2 linked regions of the Saccharomyces cerevisiae S288C genome follow. The protein of the gene in region 2 purifies or fractionates together with the protein of the main gene of each other region. This does not show direct contact. Each region holds a gene or a part of one and is shown on either strand. Other genes may lie near its edges. The genes, in order: RMP1 and POP8.

What was found.
Region 1: the proteins of POP8 (region 2) and RMP1 purify together in Saccharomyces cerevisiae (affinity purification with mass spectrometry; 2 studies listed by BioGRID). This does not show direct contact.

What each region holds. Positions count from the first base shown.
Region 1 is NC_001144.5:421,123-433,449, reverse strand, and holds RMP1 (Rmp1p), read right to left. Parts: upstream 1,283-12,327; coding exon 677-1,282; downstream 1-676. Other genes in the region: SPE4 (spermine synthase), read left to right, coding at 1-627; ACF2 (endo-1,3(4)-beta-glucanase), read left to right, coding at 1,434-3,773; DPH6 (diphthine--ammonia ligase), read right to left, coding at 4,064-6,121; PUT1 (proline dehydrogenase), read right to left, coding at 6,834-8,264; RRN5 (Rrn5p), read right to left, coding at 8,676-9,767; SLS1 (Sls1p), read left to right, coding at 9,977-11,908; NHA1 (Nha1p), read right to left, coding at 12,056-12,327. UniProt on the Saccharomyces cerevisiae protein: Functions as part of ribonuclease MRP (RNase MRP), which is involved in rRNA processing in mitochondria.
Region 2 is NC_001134.8:183,569-195,539, reverse strand, and holds POP8 (ribonuclease P), read left to right. Parts: upstream 1-9,065; coding exon 9,066-9,112; intron 9,113-9,187; coding exon 9,188-9,542; downstream 9,543-11,971. Other genes in the region: ACH1 (acetyl-CoA hydrolase), read right to left, coding at 1-1,418; mitogen-activated serine/threonine-protein kinase FUS3, read right to left, coding at 2,028-3,089; PEP1 (type I sorting receptor), read left to right, coding at 3,957-8,696; DNA-(apurinic or apyrimidinic site) lyase APN2, read right to left, coding at 9,625-11,187; RFT1 (glycolipid translocation protein), read right to left, coding at 11,415-11,971. UniProt on the Saccharomyces cerevisiae protein: Component of ribonuclease P, a protein complex that generates mature tRNA molecules by cleaving their 5'-ends. Also a component of RNase MRP, which cleaves pre-rRNA sequences.

The sequences.
Region 1 (12,327 bases), on a different chromosome or scaffold from region 2:
CTTATCATTGGCGGTGGGGACGGAGGTGTCTTAAGGGAAGTAGCCAAGCACAGCTGTGTAGAAGATATCACTATGGTAGAAATTGACTCATCAGTGATCGAATTATCCCGTAAGTTCTTGCCCACATTGAGTAATGGTGCTTTCGATGACGAAAGGTTGGACTTGAAACTTTGCGATGGCTTCAAGTTCTTACAAGATATAGGTGCTTCCGACGTCCATAAGAAATTTGACGTCATTATTACAGATAGTTCTGATCCTGAAGGTCCAGCTGAAGCGTTTTTTCAAGAGAGGTATTTCGAACTATTGAAAGATGCTTTAAATCCTAATGGCGTTGTTATTATGCAAAGCTCTGAAAATTTTTGGTTAAATTTAAAATACTTACATGATTTGAAAAATACAGCCAAAAAGGTATTTCCTAATACAGAATATTGCTATACCATGGTTCCAACCTATACATCTGGCCAATTAGGTTTAATTGTTTGCAGTAATAACGCCAATATACCGTTGAACATTCCGCAAAGAAAGATATCTGAGCAAGAACAAGGGAAGCTGAAGTACTATAATCCTCAAATACATTCTAGTGCGTTTGTTTTGCCTACTTGGGCAGACAAGGTCATTAATGAATGATTTATTAGCATTGATATTATTATTTTAAAAAGTCTATTTACTTGTATATTTATCCGAATATGCCATCAATGGCTGATTTGTTCTTCTTTTTCCTTTTCTTTTTCTTCTTACAGTTCTCTGTCAGAGGCTTTGGTATAGACGTTATCACTAGTTCGTTTTCTTGAACGTTGTTGCCAATATCTTCATCTATAATTTCTCCAAGTTCTTCGACATCGTTCACAACCGATTTTGCTTTTGTTCTCGGTAAGTTCTTTATTAAGCATCCACATCTTATAAACTCAGTTTCATTAATCTCCCATAATCTCATATACAGTGCCCTCACATTTGCCAGCAATGTTACTAGTGTACAACCCAACGTTACAAATTGTCCCAGCGCAATTACGCCATTGAACTGCCAGTACCATCTCTTTAACTGTCTAAAAAGTGCTCTCTGTAATAGCCTGTGCAACTTGACCCATTCAACATCTTTAAGGCGTTTGGCTTGTAATCTTCTCGAGCTAAAAAGCGTTATTATTTGTCCACAATTTCTTTTCATCTCATTGAACGATCCATACCAGCTAGCCGCTCTATGTTGATTTTTGTTCCTATGGTTCAAGAGCAATATTAACCGATATTCTTGCTCCAGAGATCGTATCACATTATCCATCTCATCCATTTTGTTTCTGCTCTTTTTTTTTTTGTGGATATATCATTCTAGTACTCATTTCTTTGAAGTTTTTTTCTTGGAACCATAAATAAAATTCATGAATTTCTGAAAAGTGCTAGTATCATAAAAACAAAAATAAATAAATACGAGAAGTAAAAAGATGTGTTACAGTAGGCAAGCCATTCCTCCACCTGTTCCTAATAGACCTGGCGGTACTACCAATAGAGGACCTCCTCCCTTACCACCTCGCGCAAATGTTCAGCCACCAGTTTGTTCTTCTGAGAACTCCAGTAAACCTCGAGAAAATAGGGTGGCAGGTGAATCACTGCGCACACCAAGCAGTTCTAACCCTTTAGCTGACAGCCAGGTGAATAGTGACAATATTTTTCAATCACCTGTCCTTTCTAACTTAAAAGCTCCTCCTTCCGTCTTCAACAAAGTTCAACACCCGGTACCAAAGCCGAATATTGATGATCAATCTGTTGATCCATTGGAGACAAACAAGTTCTACACAAACATGTTATTAGACGATAATACACAACCTATATGGACACATCCTTATTCAATTTGGTTTTCTCGTGATCCAGAATTGTTTGGTTTGGCCGCCAATCATACTTTAGCGTCTCAAAGGGTTTTTGATACAACTACAAATCCTCCCAGATTCTACTTCAATCCCACAAATATAAAATCATTTGTATTCAAGGCCAGGGAATTTGTCTCTTCAAATGATATCAAGCTTGAATTCCGGGATATGAAACATATGTCCATGTGCTTACTAATGTCTTTGAGTAGTTCCCAGTTTATAGAATTCCCGCTGGTTCAGGGGATGGGCTTTGTCACGGCTATTTACCACGATTTGGGTTTTGAATTAAGAAGCGCCGTTGGTTTCAGGAGCTTAGAGCGCATAAGCGTGAATGAAAGATATGGTAAATATAATATACAACTTGAGAATAATAGGAATTGGATACTTTATTTGACCTCACCTGATTACTCTTTTCCACAAGATTTTCAAATTTCATTACTCGACAGCAATACAATAATATCATCTCATAAAATCAATGGTCTTATCTGTCAATTATCTGCAGACTCCGTCCCCAGTATTGACATGGCAGCGGGCTGTTATCCAGTATACTGTGACCTATCAGGGCAAACTGTTGATGAACATTTCACAAATTACAGATTTAACTATACGGTTGCAGGCTACTCGCAGTCTGGAACTACTCTAATGTATGCTTTACCACATCATAAAGCGGCATTCACACCAGAAATGCAGGAACGTGAAATTGCCTCAAGCCTGGATTCCACAGTTAAAGGCTTAATGACTGGTTATCTCACAAACAGTTTTGATATGCAGGTTCAAGTACCTCAAGAATTGGGCTTTGAACCTGTCGCGTTATCTTTGAATAAGAAGGCAGATTACAGTCAAGAAAAGCTATCTAAAATTCGGGAAGCTGCTGTTCAAGAAGTTCAATTGAGTGACCCTCAACAAGAATCAAACATAGATTCTATGTATTTCTCTGGTAAGATACTTGCAAAGTATGCGTGGATTCTTTATGTGACACATTACATCCTTCATGATGAAAATTTAACAAAAGAATTATTATCTAAACTGACTATTGCAATGGAGAGATTCATCAGCAATCAGCAAGTCTTACCTTTAAATTACGACGTTAGTTGGAAAGGCATAATTTCATCAGGCTCTTCTAGCCAAGACTTTGGTAACTCTTATTATAATGATCATCATTTTCATTACTCTTATCATGTCATAACGGCTGCCATTATCTCTTTAGTCGATTCTGATTTAAGTGGAGTTACTAACAACTCCTGGTTAGAAAATAATAGAGATTGGGTTGAGTGCTTAATTAGAGATTACTCTGGTGTTGACAACGATGATCCGTACTTCCCTCAATTTAGGTCATTTGATTGGTTTAATGGCCATTCATGGGCCAAAGGACTATTTCCAAGTGGTGACGGTAAAGATGAAGAATCTACTTCAGAAGATGTCAATTCTTGCTATGCGATAAAATTGTGGGGGTTGGTAACTGGAAATTCTAAGTTAACTGACATAGCGAACTTACAACTCGGCATCATGAGAAATGTTTTCCAGAGCTACTTCCTATACGAAAGCAATAATACTGTCCAACCGAAAGAATTTATTGGTAATAAAGTTAGTGGTATTTTATTCGAAAATAAAATTGATCACGCCACGTATTTTGGCATGGAGCCTCAATACATTCATATGATTCACGCCATTCCTATAACATCAGCATCTTCATGGGTCAGAACACCAAATTTTGTCAAAGAGGAGTGGGAAGAAAAAATGCAGCCGATAATTGATCAAGTGAATGACGGTTGGAAAGGAATAATCATGTTAAATATGGCTCTGCTTGATCCAAAATTTTCGTACGACTTTTTCAGCCAACCTGATTTCAACAGAAATTTCCTAGACAATGGGCAAAGCTTAACTTGGTCTTTAGCTTATTCAGGTGCTTTTTCTTAGGGGTCAGAAATATATACAGTGTTAGTAGCATGGTACAAGTGTTACGATAAGGTATTTTATAGAATGATCATTTTTTTATATGAATATTGGTTCCTAAACCATCATCAATAATCAAATTATTACAGAACACACCTTAATTGTGCGGCGTATTCTAAATTTTACGTGTTCACAATATGGTGTTGTTCCTATGATTTGCTAACATATTTGGGATCTGTCTATCATTTACACCGCCAGGAGCGTGGACAGCGTATATCTATTAAGTTTATAAAATATAAGGCCTACATTTGGAGTTAGGAACGAATATGCAACCCAAAGCGGTGTTCTTTACCACGGTAATCAAAAAGTTTCTCCACCGGATAGTATCCAATGTGATGGTGGAAAGTGATGATTTCTTTGGGATTATAATAGAGGGTAATCTGGGCTGATTTTGGGGTTTTTTCCAAGATAAGTTCTAACTCCTCTCTACTATCTACAAATCCCGTAATAAAGTTTCTATTATATCCAAACGCACTAACTGTAGTGTTATGAAAACCTTCAATATTCAAATTCAATTTCTGGAATACGGTTGAAACATCATCATTCTCTTCCCTTTCTTTCTTGTCGGAATCATTATCGTCCACTATTAATCTCTTACAAGTAACACCACCAAATTCTGCAACAGCGCCTCTAGGTAATTCAGAAATCTTTACAAGAACTAGGCATTTTTCAACATCATCAGATTTGTCCATCCATAGATCTGATCTATGATTCATATTTGAACAATAAAACGCCCATGTTTTGATGACAGAGTCGAGAACCGATTCGTCTGAAATATAGCATGTCATGAGTAACTTTTCTTGAGCTCCTATTGTTTCACACAAAGTATCAAAATGTTGTAATGCCAAAACTATTTGGTCAGTGAGAGGTGTTCCTAATATTTCCATTGACTGCGGTACTAGTCCGATTTGCCCACTGATAAAACTGACTTGGTTTGCATCATCGTTTAACCAAGTACTTTGGGAATATGGTCCGATATTACATGGAGCCCAATATGAACGGCCTTGAACATGTAGTCCGCCCTTATTCTTGTTGATTTTTTCTTTGCCTGTATTTTTTACATCAACAACAACTGATAACTGTACGTGACAATCTTCTGGCAAGCACTTCGAACCTACGCATGCTCTTGATGGTGGCAAAGGTCCGTATTTTGACAAATCTAAAAATTCATTGTATATTTTGTTGATTTTTCCGAAATTAGACATATCTCTAATTAATAATGACGCAGATAAAATATGATTCCGTGGAATCTGGTTGGAATGCAGAATGTCGGCTAGCTCAGTAAAAATATCTTCACTTTGCTTCTCGACCGTCTCACTTTTACGTGATTGTAGGTTAGAGATGTACAACTTATCATTGGTTTTATTGATTGTCGTTTGTGGTAGAGCATTCGACATGTGATTTTCAAATCTTTGTTCTCCTGTTTTAGCTTGTTGCTTTGGCAAATTTTGGGTTAAATCTTGCCAATTATTACCAAAAATCGAAGGTACAGGTAATTGATCTAATTGGTTGAGTAAAAAACTTTTGCTCAAATTACGCGGTTGAAATTTTACCTTTAACCTTGCATTGTGAACTTCACCATCGCTACATTTGACAATATCAATTAATTCCAAGTATCCATGTTGGAAAAAAGGGGCATCCAAGACCATTGTCTCAAACTCCCCACCCTCTCCACAGATATGAACTTGATAAAGTTGGTTAAGTTTCTGTAACACCGGTTGCATCATAGGCAAGGACATTCCTAAATGTTTCTCGTTCAATCCAATTGCTGCCACCTTGATTATCCTGGCGTCAAATTTATTTCCTGAATTAGTATCGTTTTCAACATTGTTAACATCCTTGGACATAAGGCACATTTCACCCATTAGTTCGGCTTGATCCCTTTGCCATAAATAGCTTAGCACTACTAGACCCAATCTGGAACAAACATTTTCCACTCTGGTCCTCTGGTAAGACGATAAGATGGCACCTACACTAACAGCTTCTAAATCTGGAATTTTATCTTTGACAGTTCTTAGAAGTTCAAATAGTTCTTCAATTTCATCATCCTGAGTAGCAGTATAATTCAACTCGACGTTGTTAGAAGTGTTCCGTAATATTGAGCGTCTAAATAGTGGAACACCAATACATTTAGAATAATAGTCTATTAAGTCATGTCCTACTGTTTGGAACATGAAAGAGTCTAATTCTTGCTCTTCTGATTCTTTTGGGTATATATTTCCCAGGGCAATCAATTCATGGTTGTTCTTCAGGCAGTGAAAAATATTGTAGAACGAGTCCTTCCCACCTGATATTAATGCTATAAACTTCATGATACTGACTTATTGGGCTTTGAATTTTGATATAGCTTTATCAAAGATTTCCGTTTGAACTAGCTATTCATCATCCATCAGATATAAGTGAAAAAAAGCTTCTTTAATAGAAGCTTAAAAAAATTCTCCGCGACGGGGAATTGAACCCCGATCTGGCACGCGACAAGCGCCCATTCTGACCATTAAACTATCACGGATAAGAAACACTGGAAAACTATGTATCCCAAAATCCCATACGTTGGTTTACTAACACTACTAGATGTATTATTCATAGGTACCCCAAAATCCTTACAAAGAGACAAGGCTGAGTGTATCAAGCAAAACCGCTTTAAATCTGATGTTCTGCGCTTTCTCCCTTTGATTAGATTCAGGTCTTATGTAGTTTATAGAAGATGAGTACCTTTCTTGTGCATAAGAGTTGATAATAAGCCTGACGACGACAAGCCACTTTCCTACCGATTTAGGATTGGCAAAACATCTGGTACTATTCGAACCCATAATCAATAGGAAGAAAGCTTTACCAACAGATTGTTATTTAAGTGGTTCAAGTATATTAACTCTTGATATCCGTGCGTTTACTTTACTATTAGTGTTATTATCATTACTTATATATAATATGTATAACTAGAACATCAGAATTATGTATGCATACTTTTTTTTTTTTTTGGTTTTTTGGTTTGTCTTTGAAATTGGAGTATATATTATAGTCCTCTCATAGGCCTACTCTTTTTGGAATCGACTTTGCTATGGCCTTGATTAATGGCCAGCCATTATCAGATCTCACAGCATCCCCGTTTTCTTGCAATCTTCTCAAAAGATAATCTTTAGTTTCCAATGGTGGGCCCCATGGGACATACTTGATTATGTTTTTAGCGCCATGGTTGGTAATTAGGTCATAGGTAACATTATCTGCCATACCTAGTAATTGCCCCAACACAATGTTCGATTTGGCATAAGAGTTGTCTTGGGTAGATTTTAGCAAATTAGTAACGAGCATTTGGGATTGGTAATTATGAGAGGCGACAACCAAGTGACCAAAATAAGAATCCTCGCCATTGATGATTAAATCATTGACAACTTGAGTGATGATACGATCGTAATTTTCGTCAGTGCCCGTTTTATCGCCAAAGATAATTTGGTTACGGTTTTTTTCAGAATGAATATAAGCACCACGAACCAGTTTCAGCCCAAGCTTATAGCCGTTTTCTTGGGCCAGCTTCAATTCGTGCAAAATATGGTCACCAGAGTCCCTTAGGTACAACTGCCAAGTACCGACACATGATATCAGTTTAGATGAAGTGGGATTGAATTTTTGAAATAAGATTCTCTGTAATTCGTAAACACCATTCTCCTGCAAATCATACTTCTCAGCGTCAATAGTGGAAACCATAAATGGGGCCTTTCTTTCAGGGTACTTCTTTAACAAAGATTGATTTAGTTCAAAAATCTCTTTTGTAATCTTAGAGCAGTTCTCGATCAGCTGATCCCTTTGAGCCTTGTAGGCGGGATTACTGAAATTGTACAGAACCTCGTGAGGGTTATCGACCAAAGCAGAGGGTTTTAGAGCGATATAACCTGGAGCAATGTCATTGATTGGCTTAGATTCCAGCTGGCCAATAATATTGGGCAGTAGGATGTTGTGGACAGAGCTGATTGTTTCCTTGACAATTTGGTCTACTGGAGTACTGGACAAACTCTTTGTACCTTCGGAATTTTCAATAGTTAATGAAAGCATCATGTTCGATATACCTCTCTTCTGCAGACGTTTGCCGCATTCGATGACCTCTTTAAAGTTCTCACCGCCACAGTATAAAGAAGAGACGAAGAATTTTATTACTGGGATGGGGATGTAAGGGAACAACTTAATGATCGTGTTCAGGAAGAAGCTGTTCAAGGTCGCAATACCGATGAATCCCAGTTGGAATAGTTCCTTCTTGGGAAGTGTCTGTAGAAAATTGATTGAGTTAGGAGGTGCCATCACACTATTGCCGTTGGCATTGGCGGCCGGAGTTTCAACCATCAGATTAGCAGCCGTGTTAGAGTGTGTCGGAGTCTTTGACACATAGGACCTCTTTATCAAAGGAAAGCATAGAGAGGGTATGCGCGATTTAGTAACTAATAAGGAGCTTTTGGAAGCTATCATTTCTAGCGTGCGTTAGTGTTATTACTATGTAGCGATGTTTATGATATATAAAAGACAAAAGAGAAGAGCTGCTACGGACTTGTGGAGTTTGTGTTCGGTTCCCAGCAAGCTTTATATAAGAAGGCAGAAGGGTGAGAAAATGGGCTTAGTTCATGCGATTTCTCCTGATAATAGACGATACTAAGTACAATAATGAGATGATAAGGGAAATAGCGCCACTCATCAATTGTTTATCATTCATTTTTCTTGTGTAGATATGCTTTTCGGGATGCGAAACCCGAGGCGTGGTAACCGGAAAGCCATTGCCGAAAGGAAATTCCAATCAAAAAAGCGGTGGAGCTAACGGAGGGAATAAGCGAAAGAATAATGAAAACAAAAATTATGTCCCTGCGCGATTTTTCGCATTGTGTCTCATTTGGATAACCATTTTAGCAACTGATTTTCATGTAATGCTGATCGGAACAAGTCCGCTTCGTCGATTTCATCCCTTTCTGCCTCGCTTTCACCTTCACTTGCAGTGTTATCTTGTTCTTGATTTTCTTGATTTTCTTGATTTTCTTGATTTTCGTCTTGATGGACTGGGGGCGCATCCCGTCTGGACAACTGGCTTTGTAGAAACAGATGTGCCATCTCCTTGGTGCGGAACAGTTTGCCCTCTCGCGGATAGTCTAGTTCCCATTTGCGCAGTGTCAAAACAATGCGCCTTGGAAGCACGTGTAGGTCACGTGATCGGGCTTCTGTGCATAGTGCACGCTCAACTTGCCGGCGAGTTACCACCGTCGGTAGCGACTTGTGTCCTCGAGATTCGGCCGCCCTGGCGCTGACGCTGCGGGAAGCCATACCCGCAAGGGCCGTGCACCACAGCAATGTACGTGTGTAGCGACTTACGCAGCGCTCCAAAGTCTGCGTCGCGCTGCGCGATAGCGGCAGCGCGTGGCGGGGCAAGGGTCTTATCTCCGCGATACGGCTGTGCGAGTAGATGGCCACCCACCTGCGTTTCCAGCTTTCATAATCGATAAGGCCCTCGCAGTGTCCTTCCTCATCGGCAACCTCGGCTGCGCCTTCCGTGATGGCCATCACTGTCTCGCTCAGTTTTGTCTCCAGGGCAACCCACTCAGCGCTCATTTCGTACGCAATGGGCGCTCCGTCGTCACCCGCCTTACGCGATCTCGCGCTCGCACTCGCTCTCCTTAACAACCTGTAATAACCTAGAATCTCCATGGCGCTCTTCCGAGGCAACAATGAGCGCCACTCGTCTACACGGTGGATACTATAGCGTGAAAGGCACCAGAAAAAGGTATTCTTCTCCTCGCTGTCCCAGTCTACACCAACGCTAGAGATTTCTACACCAGCATTGGCGGTACCCGCCTTTTCATGGATGCTCTTTACATGTACTTTGGAAGGATGGAACTCAGCTGGGCGGCCTGACGCGGCACCATTGTAGAATTCCTCGACCTCCTTATTGTACAATTCGACGTACTTCCGCAATTGTTGGTGCTCCATCCTAGGTGACCGTCGTATGCGCTGTGCTTTCCTAGCTCTTCTTCCACTTCTGTTTCTCTATACTTTTTTTTTTGTTTTTCACCTCGCCCGCCTTTTCTTATTTCAGTGAACTGAAAAAAAAAAAAAAAGTTATGTATCTTTAATGTAATAAAACTAGTACATAATATATACGGAGCTTGAAGGCACTGGAGAAAATATAGAGTAAGCATATGTGGAAATTCAACAAAAAGCTCGCCCGTCTTACTTACCGTCTTTATTCAAGCTCAGGCCCAAGCTCGCCCCTTCATGGGAAGAAGAAACTGCCGCAAAATCTGAAATTCGTCGTCTTGAACCCTACCCAATCTGGGCTAGTGAAAAATGATCAGAAGCAGCCTAGACACAGGCCGTCTAAGAAACGTAGCCATAAGGAAACTGGAGATAACAACCTCGATTTCGGCTCGAAACTCCTTGTCTTCGAAAAGCAGAATTCACTAGATTCCGCATTGAACTCCATCCGATTGAAGAAACCGACAAGCGCCAGTCTGCCCTCCCTGGAATACAATGCCCTTCTCCAATCGCTTACATCAAGCTACAATCGCTACCAACTGCGCGAGTTCATCTCCACACATCAGCCAGACTCCTCTTCACATCTGACGCACTGGAAGAAAAGCAAGCTGTCCCAATATATAATTGAAAAAATCTGGAATTGCCAACCAATTTCAACACCCACCACTCCCACAGGCATCAAGTCCACATCATTGACTTTCCAGTTCGATTCTCCTAGAGAAATTTTCCTTTTACTCATCACTCAAAATGGTAAAATACTCACCAACTTCAATAAGCTCGGGCTGACATTCATCATCTCCATTCAGGATAACGAATTGACCGTCAAGGGTTCGCCTAGCTTGCTCAAATACGCAGAAATATCCTTAAACAAAATATGGTCAAACATCACTCATGAAAATGTGCGTATGTATTCCCTCATGCCATCAAAAGACGTCATCAACCTTATTCAGAAGGAAACTCACACTTTTTTTGAATACCTCCCGGACTTGCAAATGTACAAGATTTCAGCCCTAAGCACCAAGAAAATATCCATGGCCAAAGTCTTTTTATTAAATGCCGTCGCTTCTAATCCTAACACAACTCAACACCACCACACAATAGCCTCACCAGCACTCAAGACAGAACTCTATCCGTTCAACAATACTCTAGAGAACTTGGACTGGCTAAACAAGTCACAAGATTGGGCAAGATTACAGTCAGTTGTCCCTAAAAATTGCACAGATCTGATGACTCCCACTGAAAACGCCACACCAGAATTGACAGATGCGCAGGTCAGCCAATTCGAATCTTCCTTGTCTAAAAATATACCATCTCTCTCCCCTTCCGACTCTATTTCCCAATCTTTATCAATAACGCTAGGTCACTCCTTACAGTCCGCGTCTTTTTCTAGTATTTTCCAACCTCTAATACATAAGAGTTTTATTTCAAAATTACTGAATCTACCAATGTACAAAGAATCATCATCATCAGCCGTACCTGTGCCTGTGCCTCTTGATCAACATCTAATAACAAATGCGCATCAATCCTTCATACAGCTGAACTTCACTCCTGTGCCGCCCACCTCTGGCTCCTCCTCGTCCCCTTTTTTGCAGATTTGGTTCGAGATTGACGAATTCGATAACATTGTTACCACCTCAATGAGGCCTCTTTTGAAATTACAAGAAAATTCTGTTATCTTAAGAACTCCACAATGCCAGACAGACTATAAGATCACGTCAGATTACATTCAAGATCTTTTACCTGATTTCGACCAGACCAATCCGGATGCTTGGTTATCTGAACAAAAAGGCCTCCAAGAATTTCTTCTCAAGTCACACTGGAAGTTAAACAAATATCAGAATCTTATGAAAAAAATCAACATTTCTTTACCAGATAACCTAATACAGCAATACCAATTGACTGATGTTTTGACCCATCGTGTCTTGAATTTACGATTTCCTACGAACACTGCCCAAGATGATAAATACATCATTCAATATTCAGATATCAGCCGCGGATTTTTGAACAATGGCTCCTACAGACAATTAGATTTCATCAATGTGAACCCCAGTGAAACCTCACTAAAAACCTTTATCAATGATGTTTTAAGCTTTTAAGTTTAACGGAAAAGAGTAATGACAAAACCGCATACCCCCCCCCCCTCCCCCTCTTTACCGCATCTACTCTATTTCCGACACATGTAAATAAAAAAGGCATTTCGTTTATATATATACTAAAATAATATATCTTTGTGTATTAATAAATTACTTATTGAGACCAAGCGTTTTTGATAGCGCCGACTTAACAGCAGCACTCTTTTGCTTTTTTTTTCCTTCCGCTGTACCTGGACCATCGTTTCCTGTTTGTGCCTCCACAGGTAAGGGCGGCAACTCTTCGTCATCTTGATCCGCTGGTGCCGTCATCTCACCTAACGCATTTAACCTTCTTTGTCTTTCGAATTCAGTTTCTGATTCATATGCATTATCGTCGTAATCTTCACTATCGTCCATGTTATAACTATCACCTAAATCCTCCT
Region 2 (11,971 bases):
TCGGGATGAGCACACTTGTTGATGATTTCACGGGCTCTTTCCTTAGGCGATAGACCTCTTAGATCCGCCAAACCTTGGTCAGTGACCAAGATGTCCAGGTCATGCTCAGTTTGATCTACATGAGAGGCCATAGGAACAATGGTAGAGATACCGGTAGGGTCTACTTTAGTTGGTCTTGCAGAGGGGGCATGCATGATGGACAACTTTGCATTTCTCAAGAAATCAGCAGATCCACCCAACCCGTTCAACATACGGGAACCATTCACATTTGTAGAATTGGCGTGCGCGTAAATGTCAACTTCTACTGGGGTATTCATGGCGATGACACCCAATCTACGGATCATTTCCGGATTGTTCGAGACAACTTGAGATCTCAAACACAATCTGTGTTTGAAATTTTCCCAGTTTGCAAAGGCTCTGTCGAAACCCTTTTCAGTCAATCTCACGGAAGTAGCAGTGGCGTAGTCCAAAGATCCGTTCTCGAAAAGATCCAAGAACGAGTCCTGCAGCACTTCCGTCCATACAGTCAAGTGCTTGAATTGGGCGCCAGCAAGCCCTTCAATGACAGCGTTAGCAATGTTACCTATACCACTTTGTAAAGGCAGCAGGTTTTCAGGTAGCCTACCATGTTTTACCTCGTTTCTGAAAAACTCGACCAAATGACCTGCAATAGCCCTGGACATGTCGTCAGAGGGCGTATTTGGTGGGACCTGGTCCCTCATGGTGGACTCCACAATCGCAACAACCTTTTCAGGATCAACCGGGATGGAGTCAACACCACACTTGTCGTCCACTTTCAGATATGGGTATGGTTTCCTGAAAGGTGGGTTCACGGGCATGTCTATATCGTGAATACCCTCGAACGAAGGCGTAGCCGTGTTAACCTCAATAATCACTTTATCACTGACTGTAATGAATTCTGGAGAACCACCGACAGAGGGACCTGGGACGATAGACCCGTCCTCTTTAATGGCCGTTGCCTCGATTATAGTATAATCAAGGATTTTGTTGTCTTTTCTTTCCCTGGTGTAGAACCCGTATGTCAGATCCTGAGGGAACATGGACAGATGTTTATCAAAGAACTCAATTCTACCCTGGTTAATTGCCTTTGCAATGGGTTTCCCTACTTGATGAGGGGCTCTCTTAATGATCATGTCGTGTTCAGCCCAACGGTTTTCCTCTGGACCAGCAGAAGCTCCAACAAAAAGGTTGAATCTCAACTTCCCTTGTAAATTGTTCTTCTCCACGTGATCTATCAGTGCCTCCGGCACTGCCTTGGGAGTACCCACTCCTGTAAAACCGGACCACCCAAGGTACTGACCATTCTTGAACAATGGAATAAGCTCGTGAGCTTCCTTAACTTTTTTCAGATAGGGAGCATACCTAACTCTCTGCTTTAACAAATTAGAAATTGTCATTTTAGTGCAATATGTGAAAAAGAAAAAAAGAAATGTGTTGTTTGTTTTGCCGCTATTGTCTAGTAAGACGGTCTCTTGCTGCTTTGTGTGCTAATGTAAGCCCGGTGGGCACAAGACAAAAGAAGGGGTAGAACACATCTAACGTCTATATATACACAGCAACTTGATTACACATTTGCTCCAGCAAGCGCTTACCGTCCACAATACAGTGGTCATCCATACAATCACTACTTTGGTAGTTTGACGCTCCGATGGGATTGGCTGTTGCGGATGTGGTTGAGGGCGTTGTCCTCGAGGCCAATCAGCAGCGCGCATTGCCCGCCTTTGGCCCGGCGGGCCGCGCGTCGCAGGGGATGATGCTAGTCACCTATATGGATCACCCCTTGTGGTTCTTCATTTTTTTTTTCTTCAATTAACAGCCGCCGACGGCCCGTGGCGCGCGATCACGGAGTTGCGTAACTGCTCCCCTTAGCTCCATATAAGTATTGTCCTTTTATACGTCCGCGTCCTCAGCGGCTAATACGTATGTCATATGTACATATGTATATGTGTACGTATATGTATATGTATACATTGTTCTTCGGGTTGATATTTTAATGATAATGATGGCTAACTAAATATTTCGTTCCAAATGAGTTTCTTGAGGTCTTTCGTCGTTAGTGCCTCCTTGTAGTGATCAAACTCGAAGAAGCTGGGTGGGATGGGTTCGCCTTCAGGTTCGTCGTTTGGATCGTGGTATGTTTGCAAATACGGATGCTCCAGTGCCTCCTTAGCAGTAATCCTCTTCGCAGGGTCAAAAACAAGCATACGCTGTAAAAGATCTATGCCTTTCGGGTTGACTCGAGGGAACATCTTCTCCAGTGGCGCGGCAGGGTACATGGGAAGCGACTTTATGTACTCTCTAGCCCTGGGTGACTCTATACACCGCAAATCATTATCTGAGTGAGGTGTACCGATGATACCGAATATCAGTAGTAGTTGATGGCGATAATCTCTGCCAGGGAAGATTGGCCGTCTTAAGAAAAGTTCAGCGAGAATACATCCGCAGGACCACACGTCCATGGCCCTTGAGTATTTGGCAGAGGTTAACATCACCTCTGGCGCCCTGTACCAACGTGTGGCCACATACTCGGTCATGCCGCTTTGCTGACCTGTGGGCTCTGAATTGTCCGCGGCTGACTCGTCAATGATTCTTGCTAAACCGAAATCACATACTTTCAAGTCACAGTTGGAGTTTATGAGAAGGTTGGAGGGCTTTAAATCACGATGGATGACGTTCGAACCATGCAGCACTTTCACTGCTCTCAAGGTTTGGTATATAAAATATTGTATATGATCGTCACTCAGCATCTGGGTGGAGATTACACGGTGTAAATCTGTCTGCATTAGCTCTTGAATTATGTAGACCTCATTGAAGTTTTCGAACGAGTCAGGGCGTTGAATGTTGAAGATTGTTATGATATTTTCGTGCTTGAAGTGCTTCAGGATCTTTATTTCACGCAGCGTACGTAATGCGAACAAAGGCTTATCGAATGGTTCGATCTTTTTTATTGCCACGATTTCTCCCGTGGGCTTATGCGTTGCAGAACATACCACACCGTATGCACCCTCTCCCAGTAACGACTTCAACTGGAAGTCACTGGATATATTGTATACAATTCTCTTTGGCATATTATTTTCCTTTCTTTTTCTCTGCCTTATTTCCTTGTAGTTCAAACGAACTAGCTATTAGAAGAAAGAAAATGATTACAACGTATATATAGTTTCTGAGAGGCAAGAGTAAAAAGTTATGATATATTAGTATGTTGCTTTTCTGCAATTGTTTCAATGCCCTGTAAAAAACCGCATCATCTAAAATCTGAGAGAATGCAGAAACAAAAAAAAAAAAAGTAAAAATTTCGAGTAAAAGAATTTTGAGTTCCAGGGTGAAACAGATCTAAAACTCAAGAGCTTATGCATTGCTTGTAGGTACATCACATTTTACTTCAGAAAGATAAAAGAGTATGTGAAAGTAAACTGCCCTCTCCAGTTAACTCTTCCCAAACTAAAAAGTATCCGCCTGTGCGGACTACAAGCACTACCGCCCCTTGAATGAACACCAAAAGATGTGTGTAAGTTAAAAAGTCCGAACGAATTTATCCTTATGTATGTTCTTTTGAACGTCAAGTAGTCAATCTCTCCAACTACTCGGGTCTTTATATGGATCGCGTGATGTTTTAAGCCTTCTTTCCTCTAGTTTAGTGCAGTCGCTGCTTTTTTCTCGGGCTGAGTACGGCGAAAAGAAGGAAAAACCAAGGTCAAAAAATAACCTCTAAATAACAGCATGATGCAACAGCTCAAAAGACCTCTCAAGAAGCACAAAAAAAGGAGGCGAGTAGGTGGTACTATTTCATTCTACTAAGATCTTTAAAGCAATTCCTTTCCGGTTTTTTTCTCAACTACCGTACTCTTTTTCCTTTTTTATTTTGCCCTTAGATTGTATTATAAAGCTCTGTATATCTGGAAAAGCCCTGAAGTGTCCAGTAGTCATCACACGTTATGATATTACTTCATTTTGTCTATTCTCTTTGGGCCTTACTTCTCATTCCTTTAACTAATGCCGAAGAATTCACCCCCAAAGTGACAAAGACTATCGCGCAAGATTCATTTGATATATTAAGCTTTGATGATTCCAACACTTTAATTAGAAAACAAGACACCTCCGTTACTATAAGCTTTGACGATGGTGAAACATGGGAAAAAGTTGAAGGCATTGAAGGCGAAATCACTTGGATATACATCGACCCCTTCAATAGACATGACAGAGCCGTTGCAACGGCAATGAATGGGTCGTACCTTTATATAACCAATGATCAAGGTAAGTCATGGGAGCGTATAACGCTACCTGACTCCGGAGAAAGTATTTCACCTCGTGAATGCTATATAGAAACCCATCCCTTGAATAAGAACTATTTTCTTGCAAAGTGCAACTATTGTGAGAAAACAGAAGTAAACAATGACAATGAAGAGAATTCGGGGGACGAAGAGGGACAATTTGAAATATTTAATATTACACGTTGCACAGACAAGGTTTTTGCAAGTAATGATGGTGGAAAATCCTTTTCTGAGATCAAGTCTTCTCTAGAAAGGAACGAAAATAGTCCTATCAGCATTTCTGATTGTGGCTTTGCCAAGACCAGCAAAGATTCTGACCTTGAAAGTAGTGATACCTCAATAATCTGTCTTTTTCAAAATATGCAGCTTATTATGGATGAGTTTAGTTCTCCTTACACCGAAAGTAAATTGGTCCTAACTACGGACTGGGGCAAATCACTAAAAGAATTTGACCAATTTAAAGATAAGGTCGTCAATGGTTACAGGATATTGAAATCTCACATGGTTGTCTTAACCCAGGGCGACAGATATAATGATATGTCTTCCATGGATGTGTGGGTATCAAATGATCTGTCAAACTTTAAAATGGCTTACATGCCTACTCAGTTAAGGCATTCTATGCAAGGAGAAATATATGAGGACGCTATGGGAAGAATTATCTTGCCCATGAGTAGGGAAAGAAGTGATCAAGAGGAGGATAAGGGCATCGTGTCTGAAATTTTAATTTCCGACTCACAAGGGTTAAAATTTTCCCCCATCCCATGGACCGCAAATGAGGTGTTTGGTTATATTAATTTTTATCAACCTACTTACTTGAAAGGAACGATGATTGCCTCACTTTACCCTCTATCTAGGCGTCGTAACCGTAAAGGAAAAGCCAAAGGAGTAAAGAGTAAGGGGGTAACCAAAATATCTGTTGATAATGGCCTCACATGGACAATGTTAAAAGTTGTTGATCCAGATAACGCAGACTCATTCGACTGTGATATTACTGATTTTGAGAATTGTTCGCTTCAAAATATGTTTTACACACGGGAGGGTTCCACTCCAACCGCCGGAATTCTAATGACAACAGGTATTGTTGGCGATGGTAGTGTCTTCGACTGGGGAGATCAAAGAACCTTTATTTCTAGGGATGGTGGCTTAACATGGAAACTCGCCTTTGATTTTCCTTGTTTATACGCTGTTGGTGATTACGGAAATGTTATTGTGGCTATACCGTATAATGCGGATGAAGACGACGATCCTCAATCCGAATTTTATTACTCTTTAGACCAAGGTAAAACTTGGACCGAATATCAGCTAGAAACTACTATCTACCCAAATGAAGTAATGAATACAACGCCCGACGGATCTGGAGCTAAATTTATTCTAAATGGGTTTACTTTGGCGCATATGGATGGTACAACGAATTTCATCTATGCAATTGATTTTTCAACAGCCTTTAATGATAAGACATGCGAAGAAAATGATTTCGAGGATTGGAATTTAGCTGAGGGGAAGTGTGTCAATGGAGTCAAGTACAAGATCAGAAGAAGAAAACAGGACGCTCAGTGCTTGGTGAAGAAAGTTTTTGAAGACTTACAATTATTTGAGACTGCTTGTGACAAGTGTACCGAGGCTGATTACGAATGCGCGTTTGAATTTGTTAGGGACGCGACCGGGAAATGCGTACCAGACTACAACCTAATCGTTCTCTCTGACGTATGTGATAAGACAAAGAAAAAAACTGTGCCTGTAAAACCATTGCAACTAGTTAAAGGTGATAAATGTAAAAAACCAATGACAGTCAAATCAGTGGATATTTCGTGTGAGGGAGTTCCAAAGAAGGGAACGAATGATAAAGAAATAGTGGTTACAGAAAACAAATTTGATTTCAAGATTCAATTCTATCAATACTTTGACACAGTCACCGACGAATCCCTCCTCATGATCAATTCAAGAGGAGAAGCTTATATATCTCATGATGGTGGACAAACAATAAAAAGGTTCGACAGTAATGGTGAAACAATTATTGAAGTTGTGTTTAATCCATACTACAATTCTTCAGCTTATCTGTTTGGTTCCAAAGGTAGCATTTTCTCTACCCATGATAGGGGATACTCTTTTATGACTGCTAAATTGCCCGAGGCTAGGCAGTTAGGTATGCCATTAGACTTTAACGCTAAGGCACAGGATACATTTATCTATTATGGTGGTAAGAATTGTGAGTCAATCTTAAGTCCGGAATGTCATGCGGTAGCATACCTGACCAATGATGGGGGCGAAACGTTTACGGAAATGCTTGATAATGCAATTCATTGTGAGTTTGCGGGCTCACTTTTCAAATATCCGTCAAATGAGGATATGGTTATGTGTCAAGTGAAGGAAAAGTCTTCGCAGACAAGAAGCTTAGTTTCTTCTACTGATTTTTTCCAGGATGATAAAAATACCGTCTTTGAAAATATTATCGGCTACTTATCCACTGGTGGCTATATCATCGTTGCTGTTCCTCATGAGAACAACGAATTGAGAGCATACGTAACTATCGATGGTACTGAGTTTGCCGAGGCAAAATTCCCATATGATGAAGATGTTGGGAAGCAAGAGGCATTCACTATATTAGAGTCTGAGAAAGGATCGATATTCTTACATTTAGCAACAAACTTAGTACCAGGACGCGATTTTGGCAATCTTTTGAAATCCAACTCAAATGGTACTTCTTTTGTCACGTTGGAGCATGCCGTTAATAGAAACACATTCGGCTATGTTGACTTTGAAAAAATTCAAGGTCTCGAAGGCATTATTCTCACCAACATCGTTTCAAATAGTGACAAGGTCGCCGAGAATAAAGAAGACAAACAATTGAAGACGAAGATCACCTTTAATGAAGGTTCAGATTGGAACTTTTTGAAACCTCCGAAGAGGGATTCAGAAGGAAAAAAGTTTTCTTGCAGCTCCAAATCACTGGATGAGTGTTCATTGCACTTACATGGCTATACTGAACGTAAGGATATTAGAGATACATATTCTTCCGGTTCTGCATTAGGAATGATGTTCGGCGTTGGCAACGTTGGTCCTAACCTTTTACCATATAAAGAATGTTCCACCTTCTTCACCACCGATGGTGGCGAAACGTGGGCTGAAGTTAAGAAGACTCCTCACCAATGGGAATACGGTGACCACGGTGGGATTTTAGTTTTAGTTCCTGAAAACTCAGAAACTGATTCTATTTCCTATTCTACCGATTTTGGTAAAACATGGAAAGATTATAAATTCTGCGCTGATAAGGTTTTAGTAAAGGATATAACCACTGTTCCCAGGGATTCTGCTTTGAGATTTTTGCTGTTTGGAGAGGCAGCAGATATTGGAGGCAGCTCATTTAGAACGTACACAATTGATTTTAGAAACATCTTCGAAAGACAATGTGATTTCGACATCACTGGTAAGGAAAGCGCAGATTATAAATACTCTCCTCTGGGTTCCAAAAGCAATTGCCTATTTGGTCACCAAACCGAGTTTTTACGTAAAACCGATGAAAATTGTTTTATTGGGAATATTCCACTTTCTGAATTTTCAAGAAATATCAAAAACTGTTCTTGTACAAGACAAGATTTCGAGTGTGATTACAACTTTTACAAAGCTAACGATGGTACTTGTAAATTAGTCAAAGGACTAAGCCCAGCAAATGCTGCAGACGTTTGTAAAAAAGAGCCAGATTTAATCGAATATTTTGAATCGTCAGGCTACAGAAAGATCCCTCTATCAACCTGTGAGGGTGGCCTGAAATTGGATGCTCCCTCATCACCACATGCTTGCCCAGGAAAAGAAAAAGAATTCAAGGAAAAGTACTCAGTAAGTGCCGGTCCCTTTGCATTTATTTTCATTTCAATTCTTTTAATAATTTTCTTTGCCGCATGGTTTGTATATGACAGAGGTATCAGAAGAAATGGGGGATTTGCAAGGTTTGGAGAAATTAGGCTAGGTGACGATGGTTTAATAGAAAACAATAATACTGACAGAGTTGTCAATAACATTGTGAAATCAGGATTTTACGTTTTCTCAAATATCGGGTCTCTTTTACAGCACACAAAAACTAATATAGCGCATGCTATCTCCAAAATTAGAGGAAGGTTTGGAAACAGAACAGGTCCAAGCTACTCATCCCTGATCCATGATCAATTTTTGGATGAAGCAGATGACCTGCTTGCTGGCCACGATGAAGACGCCAATGACTTATCCAGTTTCATGGATCAGGGTAGTAATTTTGAAATCGAAGAAGATGATGTTCCAACACTTGAAGAAGAGCATACATCATATACAGATCAACCTACGACCACCGATGTTCCAGATACATTACCAGAAGGAAATGAGGAAAACATCGACAGGCCTGATTCTACAGCGCCATCTAACGAAAACCAGTAGAGAGATTACTTTACATAGAGTAGATAATTCCATATACTTTTCATAAACAAAAACGAGCAGATCCTTTAGACAGAATATCAAGTTCTTTCACAAGCCAAAGAAACTTGGCATGATCAGTACTGGTGCAATTCAAATAACTGCAAGTACTGAATCTCCATCTTCAAAGCAGAACCGTAATAATGCGTACAAGGAAGCGGGTGGGATATATCATATGTTACGGGAAAGTGGTTGTTTGACTGAAGATCATCGAGAACGTCATAACTTCAATACATAAGTCATCGCGTAATTTTACAAGCTTTACTGTTCAGCTTTATAGGATAATCAGAATAAGAAAAGGCAGATAAATAGTTTGATAAATGGCCAGTTGTGATGGGGAAAAAGACTTTTAGAGAATGGCAATATTTCAAGTTATCAATGTATGTATATTTTTGACTTTTTGAGTCTCAACTACCGAAGAGAAATAAACTACTAACGTACTTTAATATTTATAGTACTTCATTCGATCAAGATGTGGACGATGCACATGCTATTGATCAAATGACATGGAGGCAATGGTTAAATAACGCATTGAAACGTAGTTATGGTATTTTTGGTGAAGGTGTAGAATATTCATTCCTGCATGTTGACGATAAGCTGGCTTACATCAGAGTAAATCATGCGGATAAAGATACATTTTCTTCGTCCATCAGTACATACATATCTACTGATGAACTCGTCGGTTCACCATTAACAGTGTCAATTCTACAAGAATCTTCCAGTTTGAGACTTCTGGAGGTTACTGACGATGACCGCCTATGGCTGAAAAAAGTAATGGAAGAAGAAGAACAAGACTGTAAATGTATATAGAATATCAGTTTATTATTTAAAAAAACTTGGGCATAGAAGAAAGTGTTTTATTCTCCCAAAATATCAGCTGACGTTTTCATATTTAAACCCACTGAAAAAACCCACAAGATGATTCTGTATTATTTGAATCACCCCGAGATCTCTTGCAAATCCAGAACTTTCTACCTGGATTGGCCGAAGTTTTCGATGTTTTCAGCATGGATTCCTCCCCATGCCTGCACAGGGGAGGCTTTCCAAAGACATCCTTGAAATTCAACTTTGGCGTGGAGATTCTTTTTTTAGCTTGCTGTGGAATTTCAGAGGATTCTTTAATCCTGTCATCTTTTTCTCCATTTACCTTCTGGAAAAATGAGTCGAGCGATTTGTTTTTGATGTTGCTGTTTTTTTTGGTATTCATGACTTTTGATACACAATATTTTTGTTTATTAGATTCTTTATTCGTATCCTTTTTGGCAAACATCTCTAAAACATTATGGTTTCTTAAATTATATTTGTACCTTGCTTCGAATTTTGGTATGGGAACTTGTGTCGTACCAGGTTCAATTCTGTCGTCCAGTATATCTAAATCAGAATACACAGGACAATGGTCAGAGCCCAATATATCCGGAAGAATGTCAGCTGCTTTTATGCATCGTTCAAGCTTTAAGGACACTAGGATAAAATCTATCCGTGAGCCATAATTCGAAGGTCTTAAATTTTTTAACATATTCCAGACTGTATACATTTTAAGTCGATTTCTTGTTTGAATTAGCCTCGTAGTGTCTATCAGTATCCCCCTTTTACTCGCGTCTGGTAAAAGTGAATCAGCCAATATTTGATTAAATATCCTCCGATGTGGCGTGTCCGGATTGATAATAAATTGGATTGCTTTATCCCTATATTGTGCTTCTAACTTTGTTCCACCCATGGGATCTGTTATTGGAATTGAGAATTGTTCTAATGTATCGGCACTGTCTATAAGATCCCGGCAAACATTTACGTCGCCCATTAGCACAATCTTCTTCCCAATTTTGTCCAAATTCCGAACTCTTCTTAATAAAACTTTCAAGAACCTTAATCTAAACATCTCACCCTCCTCCGATGAGTTCGAATTTGCGGGACAATATACACTGATAATAACTATTCCACATGCCAGTTCAACCATAACACATCTGCCTTCTGAATCTAGTTCCAGTGCACTTTTCTCATCTAAATCGGGATCTAAAGAATCGTAACCACCAATTCCTTGATTTACGTCGTTTCTATAGGAGATTGCTGAATGCTTACCATTTTTTATTGTCAAGTAACCCGTTATACCTTCTTCTGCCTTAACGACTTGTAATGCATGGTATAGTGGGTGGTTCTTTTCCGGAATTCTAATCCAGCAGCCAACGCCAGAATATCCCTTTCTGGTTTGAGGGATAGAAATAAAAGAATAAAAACCATCAACTCTCCCCCACTTAGAGATAGACAATTTTTCCGTCTTGAGCTCTTGGAATGTTATTATGTCTGCTCGAAAAAAGTCGAAAACAGATCTAAGGGATTGATTCATTTGAGAAAATGGTTGATAATGAAAAAAGGTTCTTATACCATTGACATTGAAAGTTAAAAATCGTATTGTGTTCTCTGACTTTCCATCCAGTAACGTGTTTTCGCTTGATGACATAGTGTCCTGACAAGGAAAGGGATTTTCTTTACGGTGAAATAGCTTCTCTCTTGGTTGCCTATCTTTTATTGGGTAATTTTTCAGCACTTTCACATCATATAGTACATACAAACTAACTTTCTGAAGGACTAATAAATAAAAAAAAATGAATGCTTTTTGATAATATACTCACTATATGTTATTTAAGCGCATATTATGTGTCGCCTAAGTTATATAAGAATTTTTGTTTATACATCTTTAGAATTGGAAACCGCCCTCTTGTTAATAAAAGATTGTATGGTTTGGCGCTCCTTGACCAAAATTAACGCTAACAATCCCATTGCGAATAATACGTTAACAACAAATTGTTGTAAATTTTTAACGTACCCAATAAACCACCAGTCAAGTAGACAGATCGTTGAGCCAGCAATAATAACTGTTTTGAAATCCTTAAAATTGAAGAAAAAAGAGGAATCTGTAAACAGTTCCCTATGAAATTTATTCAAGAAAACTCCACAATACAATATTCTCAACACCATGTTAATGATGTTACTCAATATCAAGCCTTCGATTGATAGTTTGAGTTTTTCAATAAGAAGCCAGGAATTGAGCAGGAAAATACCAGAAAAGGCCATCATAAAATATGAATGTTTCAAAATTTGGTCACCAGTGGCTACACTCTGGAAAAAAGCTTCAAAAATACCATTAAGCGATAAAAATGGGATGTAAAAGCAGTAGACTCTTATAGTGTCCAAAACGGAAGTAGTGGACCATTTCGAGCCAATCAAGAACTGCAATAAAAAGG